Daphnia pulex: one gene and its partner. The protein of the gene in region 2 purifies or fractionates together with the protein of the main gene of each other region. This does not show direct contact. Links are inferred from orthologs where the notes say so. Each region holds a gene or a part of one and is shown on either strand. Other genes may lie near its edges.

Region 1 (4,127 bases), on a different chromosome or scaffold from region 2:
TGGTGGATTGCTTGTTAATATGTCCCTTACTCTGTCTATGGAGGTAGACCCCCCTCCCCCACTGCTCTAGATGCCAATACTGGAGCCATTGCGTTAGCTAACAAATCGTTAAAAATCACAACCCTGACGCACGACAACGTCCTTGACGCGTCGTATACCAAATCCCCAAGTCTTGTTTTTTCCATTGGATTGGAGACGAAGCCCGACGACCCAGCCCTCGTCAAAAACCACCCACCCACCCAACTTCAAAGTTGAGTAGGTGGGTGAAAGGGTGACGAGATAATAGAGAGAGAGAGATAAGACTTGGGGATTTTGCATACGACGCGTCATGGACGTTGCCGTGCGTCAGGGTTGACACCTTAGTGATTTTGTACCAAAACGCAACAGACGCTTCGGTCCCAACCCTACTCACCCGATGAAGGACTAAAAAACATCTAGACCTCTCAGAGAAAAGATTCCCTATTTCGAGAGAGTCGATTTTAAAGAACAGATAAAACGTTATTTTTCTGAACAATTCAAAAAATTAGCTCTGTCATTCCAGGAACATTTAGCCAACCTGAAAACCCAGAACCCGTTACTGGATACAATGAATGGAAAGATTTAATCATAGAACCATTTAAGGACCCATCTGAGAATCAATTTTTTAAGAACGAACTGTCTGAAATTGAACAAAAAGCTAACGAACGAGTAAGAGAATTTCGCCCACGTTTAGAAACATGATTTGTTAAAGCCTACAACGGAATGCTTTTTTCCATAGTACAAATGAAGATATGACTCTCAAAAGAAACGACATTCGAAGGAAAAAAAGAATGCATTTGAAGGAGGACTCAAAAGGGAGTTACTCCCAGGTGAAAACAGAGTACTGCGCGATGCTGACTACGCAACATGTGAAGTCACAGCAACAGATATAGAAAGAAGTTTAGCACGCAAAAAATCAACTTCTCACAAAAACCGTCATTCACAAATAAGCGCTATTAGTTTACACAAAAAATTACTTTTAGTATTATTCGAATTACTTTAATTGTCTTTTAATGATTTATTTTAAGTTTATGGTAACCGCCATAAACTCCGTGTTAAACACGGCTCGAAGCCTCGAACATTTTGTCGCGCTGTTAAATTAATTTTAAAATAATAAATGTTAACGAAAATGTAAAAAATTTGTAACACATTTTTATCAACAGTGTTGTGGCCGATATTTTTTTTTTACCGCGAGCCCGGCCCGATTAACAGAAACAAACATCATGTCAAGGTCGTGATCTTTTTTGCGATCGCCGCTAGATGGCAAGGGGAAATGATTACCAACGTTTTCAAGAATCAAGACAAAGCACAAAGCAATTTGCAAAAATACATTTAATCACTGAAACTTTATAAACTTTAATGTATAACAATAATTTTTTATATAAAAATAAAAACAATAATTTATTGGTGGTGCTATTTAAAAAAAGGGTTTTTTTATTAATTAAAGATAGCGACGATCGCAAATCTGATCGAGCGATTTCTGGCCTGCAATTCCGATCCCGGTCGCGTTTTTCAGTTTGGATCGCGATCGCTAAAAATTTACCGTGGTCGTGATCGCACGATCGAACGATTGCAATCGTCACGACATTTTTTATTAATAAAATAAGTATCAGTTTATAATGAATAAATTTTTTGAATTAAGACCCCTATTTCCCGTATATAAATGTTTAATGGTTCATTTCTTTAAGATCCCACGCTACGATTTTGTCCGGGTTTTATTATGTAAATAGTGTGTAATGTGTCAATAATGTTCATTTTTCCTAAAGGCTAAAACTAAAACCCCCCTTTTTTTAGCTAAAATGGCCTTAGTAGAGACGAAGTTGCTTTAGTCCATTCAGGAACAAGCTCCACCCATCGCCAGAGGGGTGTACCTCTTTGGAGTTATCACTTAGGCAAAGGTTCAGTTTTCTGCCACCACTCTGTCGAGTCTACAATCGTAGATTCGTAGTGTTAGCGTTTAGATAATCTGTCACTTTCCACTTTTCCATTAAGTTCTTAACTTTATCGCGAATAAAATGGTAGACTACAGCAAATGGAAAAATATCGAGGTAAATTGTTGCTTCAAAAATGTTGTGTTGTTATTTTACCATATTTTTGCGGGTTCTCTAACCTTCTATTTATTGTCAGTATAGTATTTAATCGTAATTAAGTATCGTAATTAAGTATTCGTTATTTATATGTTTCATTTAAACACTCACGTACTTCATAATACTTTACAGATATCTGACGATGAGGATGATACACATCCTAACGTTGACACGCCTTCTCTGTTCAAATGGCGACACGAAGCTAGATTAGAAAAAATGAAGGAAATGGAACAAGAAAAAGCTCTGTTTCTCAAAGCAAAAAATGAGTAATGCTAAATAACTAGCTTTAATGTTTTTGTTAAAGTTTACATTAAATCAAACTTTTCTAACAAAGGAACACTGCCAAACTAAAAGAAGTTAAAAGTAAGTATGAACAGGTGATGAAAGAAGGTATTGATGTGACAGATTTGAAAAAGCAATTGAGTGAATTAGAATCGAAAAAAATTGAACTCGAAGATCATGAAGAACAAATGAAAAAAAAGGAAAAGTTGATGCCATGGTATTTAAAAGATTCACTTCAATATATCCTAATGTGATGTCTAATTTCAAAGTTTAATTGTGGTTTTTTTGCATATTTTTTTTAGGAATGTAGATACAATTAGTCAACCTGGATTTTCAAAAACTGTGGTCAATGTTGACCAACCCAAAAAAGTGAAAGAGCTCACTGAAGAGGAGAAAGAAATCAAAACACGTGAATTTTTCAAGAAACATGAGAAAAATCTTAAGGCATATGGAATGCTACAAAAGTATGATGATAGTAAGCGTTTCCTTCAAGAAAATCCAGAGCTGGTTTGTGAAGAAACAGCAAACTATCTCGTGATTTGGTGTATTAATTTAGAAATGGAAGAGAAAACAAGTTTAATGGAACATGTTGCCCATCAGTGCATTTGCATGCAATTCATTCTTGAATTATCCAGGCACCTTAACAGAGATCCAAGATCATGTGTGTCTTCATTCTTTTCAAGGTTTATCTTTATATTAAGTTGTCCTTTATGTAGCTATAACTAAATGAATTGTTTACTATTTTATCTCTTTTAGAATTCAAATCGCAGATGTTGAGTATCGTAAAGGATTTGAAGACGAACTTGTAGCTTTCAAAGACCGTATACAACGGCGGGCGAAAGAGAAAATAGAAGCTGCAATTGCCGAAGCTGAGGAGGAAGAAAAGAAAAAACGACTTGGTCCTGGAGGGTTGGATCCCGTTGAAGTATTTGAAAGTTTACCGGAGGTATAATTGAGCAAGACACATAAATTTCCTTCCACATATATGAATCATGTGTTTTGTTGTGTAGGTTCTTAAGGATTGTTTTGAAAAACAAAACATTGAGCTTCTTCAACAAGCAATTTCAACACTACCTGAAGAAGAAGCACGGTTTCATATGAAAAGATGTGTTGACTCCGGATTGTGGGTACCCGACGGAAATGTTGCTGGAAATATTGCAGAAAATGTTGCAGAAAATTAAAATACTAGTTTGGATTATTATATTCATTAATAATGAATTAATACACTGGGGCTTTTGAATAACGTGTATTTGACGTTTTTACCTCCAGTTTCATACTCACCTCACTTTAAAATTGTAAAGTTAAAAAGCCTTAAGAACAGACAAGTTACTGCTATAAAAACATACGCTAGTATTCTTCAGTCTGGAATTGCGACTCTTCCACTTCGTATTTAATGTTGTCAGGATCATATTGATTATAGCCATCATATTGTTGGGCCGTATAGTCATAATCTGCAAATTTCAATTCCACAAATTAGTAATAGATATTTTTCATTAACAGCTAATTCCAATACCATCAGGCGGTTCTTCCTTCACTCGCACTTGTTCACCATCCTCCCGAACATAGTCCCTACGCTCTCGTTCCCTGTGAAAAATTATTCATTAAATTCTGAAGTTGAATTCGATAATTTGATTGCTTACTTATCCTTGTAACGATCGCGACGTTCCCGGCGATCCTTGTTCTTGTCTTTAACTCGATCTTTTTCTTTGCGACGCTCATCGCCAGAAGCGACTTGACCAG
Region 2 (5,245 bases):
GGTTTTGGTCACGTGAAATTTAAGCGAGCAGATAGGAAATCGAGGGCGACACCACCCTTGAGTGGCCCCCACAGTCCTTTAGGGTTGCCACTCCATTTTGTCTGGCGTGTCAAAAGATTTAAATTATAATCAGGGTAATTATTACTGATAAGAAACCGAAAATCAGATGAATGAAATTTAACATTGTTTTACCCAGATGACATGTAAGTGCCGACCATTGAGGGAATTGAACTCCGTTGACGAGAATCCGCAGTTGGAAATGGTGAGCCATAGAATTAAAAGTAAAGAATACATCGCAAGATATTAGAATAGATCTCTAGGACAGAACAAATTGGGTTGGAGTCTTGAGAACGACTGGACATCTTTCTGTTCATTGTAATAAAGTTAAGCTCATGTAACACCGGAGAAGTTTCAGGTAATTTTCCGTTTCCATAGCGACACGCACATCATATGCAAATAAATGACTTTTGATAGTCGGCAATTTCTCGATAGAAGATGATATGTCTGTGTGTGTATCTGACATTGATGTCTCATCTTTTATTTCCGATATTATCCAATATTATCCAAACTGCAACAACCATACATAAGCCTACTGTTCTATTCACGTTTGTGATCCACGTCAGCTGTCAATTCTCTGTCTCATCTATATTCAACTACTTTGAATAACGTCAGGTGCTCAGACTGGACTCGGTTTGTCTACTCATATCTAATGTGCGTCTATACTGTATTGCACTAATAAGCGCTCATTCGAATACTTGGGATTCGTTTCCTTATTTGACTCTGAGTTACTCTAACAATTTATTTTTCGAAATGGACTATGCTTATGCGTGCTTGCAACGAGGAGGTGTGATGGTACACAACAGGTTTCTCTTTGTTAAAAAAATGTTCTAGTTGCACTTTGCTTGAAGTGTTTAAAGTTCAAATATTTTTCGAATTTGATTGTTTACCCAAAGGCAAAAGTTGTGAGGTACAAAACAAAAACAAGCCTGATCTGCAGTCGTTCTACAAATGCGTTACTTAACCCAAAACTGAGTAAACAAACACGGCAAGAGAAAACAGTTACAGTCAACGGCCTAACTCAGGAATGATAGTAGGCCTACTCTGTACTATGTAACGATTTGAAATCATCCAATAAGCCACCAAATAGTCAACAGGAAGAATAGTTAGATAATATTTGTTCTACCTTTAAGCCTGGGAAATACGGCCAGGCATCCAAAAGTGCTCCATCAGTTGAAGAGTTGAATTACAGCTGACAGGAAAAAGGGGGTCCTCGTGAATATCCCCACAGACACATGTACATGAGGACATTTCAAGAAAGGGGAAGAAGAGTTACGTAACCCGACCGACATCGATGGTTTCTCCAATAAAACGGGATGCTGTTTATCTAAATACAAATAAAAAGAAGTCACGACAAATGTTTGCAGAAACAACAAGTAAGCAGTAAGGAAAAGTTGAAAATGTGGGTAGACCCAATTTTTAATAAACAGGAGAATTAAAAGTTAACAAGCAATTGGGCAAGTCACATGAAAAAGAGTATCGAAAATTATTACCCACGCGACGATACCATGGTATGATACCTGAAGAAATTTGAAGATTTTTGCTGATGACAGGTCAATGGTATATTTCAACAGTATATTTCTGTGATCATGTGATGTCCAATCACAGAAAAAAAAACATGCAGCAACAACTCTGACTCTTCTTTATAACTTTTAAGGATAATTTATAATTCTATTCTTTCCCTATTCACTTAAAATTTTAAGTTATTTTATTTCTGCTTTTAGATGTTTTGTTTTGTGAAAGCAGCGCCACCGTATTTGAACGGGTTCTAGATATCGATCGTGATAGCTTATATCGATATAGTATTTCAATGTATCGATCTTTAAAGGAACAGACGAAATTTCAAGTTGTTATTTCTTATTTTTTATTTGTTATGATCAGAGGTTCTTTGAGATAGGCGCCATTAGAATTTGTTGTATTTGTGAAATCATTTCTCACAAAATCAATTATTGATTTTGCTTAGATTAAACAACTTTTATTTTTCGAAAAAGTTTATCATCATAGAGCCAAAATACCATTCCAGTAAACTTTAAAATGCCCTTGCCTCGACTACCAGGATTCGTTCTTCAATCGAAAATTGGAAGCGGAACCTTTTCTGATGTCTACAAAGCATATCAGATTGTAAATATTGCTTATCCAATTAGTCATTTTTAAATTATATTATTATTTTTTATTCTTTGTTTTAATGATGTTTCTTTCATTCATTCAGAGTAGCCCTAAACAAATTGTTGCTGTTAAATGTATATTAAAGAATGAATTATCTGCAAACACGGTAAACAGTATAGTACATGAAATCGAGGCCTTGAAACGTCTCAGACATCCACACATCATTCAAATGCTAGATTTTCAATGGGATGAAAAGTGAGTATCTGATTGAACACATGGAAAGCTACTTGTGTTACAATTTAACTTATTGCATGGTCCATTGGCCTTGTGTTTCTTTATTATTATTAACCAAAATCTTAATTCAGAACTGCATCAGCCTAGTGAAAAAATGTTTAAGATTTTAACTGCATAAAATATTGTGGTGACTGTGATATTTAGCAAAGTTCAATCATATCACGAGATCAAAGTGTATTTTGTCCTAAAGTTATCAGTGACGGCTTATATACCCCCAACAGCTATCAATTCCTACACATTGGAAGATACTTTGTAGGACGTTTATTGAGCAGATAAGAAATTCTGTTTGATTACAAGTTGTGAATTAGGTTTTATCAAATAGTGCACTGTATTTAAATAACCATGCTTTTTTTTAACAATTTTAAAAATCTTCCCTAGTTAAAAATTTTTAACCGCTTATTTTTTTGTCTCTTTTTTCGCAGTTTTATCTATATAATAATGGAATATTGCGAAGGTGGAGACCTATCCATCTTTATTAGAAACTACAAACAACTAAAAGAAGACATTTGCCGATCATTTTTAAGTCAACTAGCGTTTGCCTTGCAATACCTGCGGCAACATAATATTGTTCACATGGATCTTAAACCAAGTAACTTGTTGTTAACATCCCGAAAACATCCAGTTTTGAAGCTAGCAGGTAATGCGAACCAACTTCTCCCCACTCACATATTAAAGAAATCTTTATTTATTATTTTTTGAATGCAGATTTTGGTTTGGCTCAATCTCTTAAAAACCGGGAAAAAGAAACTTCTTACAGAGGATCCCCATTATACATGGCTCCAGAGATTCTCCGGCGACAAAGTTATGACGCCTCTGTCGATCTGTGGTCAACTGGTGTGATTTTATACGAATGTTTATTTGGTAGACCTCCATGCTCGTCTAAAAGCTTGAAAGAATTGGTGGAAAAAATTCAAAGTGATGCTCCTATAACAGTAAGTGTTGGATAAATAGTTTAATTCTCGCTCATGATAATATTTCCTTTTAAAATACCTGTAGATTCCAACCACTATAGAGCTATCATCCAATTGTAGAGACCTTTTAATTCGATTATTGCAAAAGGACCCCAATAAGCGGTTGACATTTGAACAATTCTTCAATCATCCTTTTGTCAATTTGCCTGCTTGTGTCCTCCAACGTCTCCTGTCCTCCAACAGTGGTCTGTTAGAGGCTAATTCAGTTTTTGAGCGTGCTGAAAATTCGTATAAGTCAAATCGAGGAAATGAAACTCTTATTCTCTACCGTCAAGCCCATGCTCTTCTAAAGCCGTTAATATCAGGTATCATTTTCCGGCTAATATTTCTGATTTAACCAATAAAATACTTTGTAATCCCAGGTGCTGATGCGGTCACGAAATCTAAATTGAGTGGACAACTTCATACATGTTCCTGCCGAATCAAAGAAATGTCGATTGTCCCTGAAGTACCTTCTACTCAATTAACCAAGTCCAACGTTTCAACGACGTTTCAAGAACTCCGTAAGATAATTCCGTAAACATAAATTATCTTCAATTTTCTGTTAACGTATTATAATTGGCTGGTAGGTTCCCTGGCGTCCGCTACACCGAATTTAGCCTCGGCGCTGGAAATAGGCAAAGAAGGAGTGCAATACGATTCAGAGGGACAGCATGTTTTTGCATTAGAGGTTACATGTTGATTAATTTTCATTCAAATCAACCGATAAAATTAAATTATATCAATCAGCGTTACAAAGCAGCACTGGATGTAATGATACCAATGCTTCGCCATGAATCCAAGGGACGCAGGAGAGATTTGCTTCATCAACAGGTTCAATTTTCCGAATAAAATGTTCAATTAACTTGCTAAATTTTGACGTAAAATTGTATTAGGTCACATTATGGATGGAAAGAGCTGAACAGTTGCAAGAATTCCACAATCTCCAACAGTCACAGCTGGAAGAACTACAGGCTGAAGATGCTAGCGGTAAATCAAATTTAGTTTAGGCTTGATAAAATAATTAACATTAAATCTTATTTGAAGGGCAATATTGCTGTATTCAGTAACAAGTCTTCGGCGACCAATCAACCGGTGAATGGTGATACACAAAAAAAAAGAAGCTATGGTTGCAAAAATAAAACAGTTTCTCTGCCATTCGAAATACACGAAAATAGAAAGTAGCCCCAATTTATGACTCGTTTCCCCTTCTATACACGAAGCGTATACCTTTTGTATGCTTGCTGGCTTTCACTTTTCCTTTCTTCTTTTGTTATCCTGATCGAAAAAAATATAATGTGAAGAACTAGACTGACTTCTAAAATCCTCTCTATGTGAATCCTTAATTTAAGTTAACATTTTTGTAATGGTGTCGTGGCATATCTATTACATATGCGATGGATCAGATAAGATTGATAGTAATTTTCGATAAAACGAGTGTCTGACATTCGGGCCACGGTCAGGTGTTGGACTAGAAAGTACCAAAATTATTTTCACGTTAATATTTAAAAAAAAAATGCATTTAAACCATTCGGCCTTCTAATTCTTTTTCCCCTAAACTTGAAATAATTCCCCTTCATGTCCCTGTTCTAATTGATTTTGTAATTCCGTTCTCTCTTTCATTTTCTTGTCCATGTTGGTGTGAAGCGTTTCACCGTATATCAATTCCGTGTGGTTGGCGAGATTTCACGAGCAACTACATTTCGATGGCTCTGTACCAATAGAAAGGGACAACTGCTGGGAAAAAAGGGAAAGTTTTGCTAGGAAATCAAGGGCTGCCTTTCTTTCAAAATTATGTTGGTCGTTTCTCTTTTCTCTACAATTTCACTCTTAGTTTG

The links. The genes of interacting proteins can lie anywhere in the genome.
Region 1: the proteins of serine/threonine-protein kinase ULK3-like (region 2) and hsp90 co-chaperone Cdc37-like purify together in Homo sapiens (affinity purification with mass spectrometry; 3 studies listed by BioGRID and IntAct, with this or other methods). This does not show direct contact. The link is inferred for Daphnia pulex from reciprocal best matches to the Homo sapiens genes ULK3 and CDC37.

What each region holds. Positions count from the first base shown.
Region 1 is NC_060026.1:6,136,376-6,140,502, forward strand, and holds hsp90 co-chaperone Cdc37-like, read left to right. Parts: upstream 1-1,907; 5' UTR 1,908-2,033; coding exon 2,034-2,066; intron 2,067-2,237; coding exon 2,238-2,371; intron 2,372-2,439; coding exon 2,440-2,604; intron 2,605-2,689; coding exon 2,690-3,070; intron 3,071-3,143; coding exon 3,144-3,333; intron 3,334-3,397; coding exon 3,398-3,568; 3' UTR 3,569-3,627; downstream 3,628-4,127. Other genes in the region: U1 small nuclear ribonucleoprotein 70 kDa-like, read right to left, coding at 3,735-3,838, 3,901-3,971, 4,028-4,127. UniProt on the Homo sapiens protein: Co-chaperone that binds to numerous kinases and promotes their interaction with the Hsp90 complex, resulting in stabilization and promotion of their activity. Inhibits HSP90AA1 ATPase activity.
Region 2 is NC_060023.1:1,269,497-1,274,741, forward strand, and holds serine/threonine-protein kinase ULK3-like, read left to right. Parts: upstream 1-1,867; 5' UTR 1,868-2,091; coding exon 2,092-2,178; intron 2,179-2,266; coding exon 2,267-2,418; intron 2,419-2,879; coding exon 2,880-3,094; intron 3,095-3,162; coding exon 3,163-3,389; intron 3,390-3,453; coding exon 3,454-3,733; intron 3,734-3,790; coding exon 3,791-3,931; intron 3,932-3,997; coding exon 3,998-4,098; intron 4,099-4,157; coding exon 4,158-4,241; intron 4,242-4,303; coding exon 4,304-4,397; intron 4,398-4,454; coding exon 4,455-4,477; 3' UTR 4,478-4,724; downstream 4,725-5,245. Other genes in the region: ionotropic receptor 93a-like, read right to left, coding at 13-101, 193-294. UniProt on the Homo sapiens protein: Serine/threonine protein kinase that acts as a regulator of Sonic hedgehog (SHH) signaling and autophagy.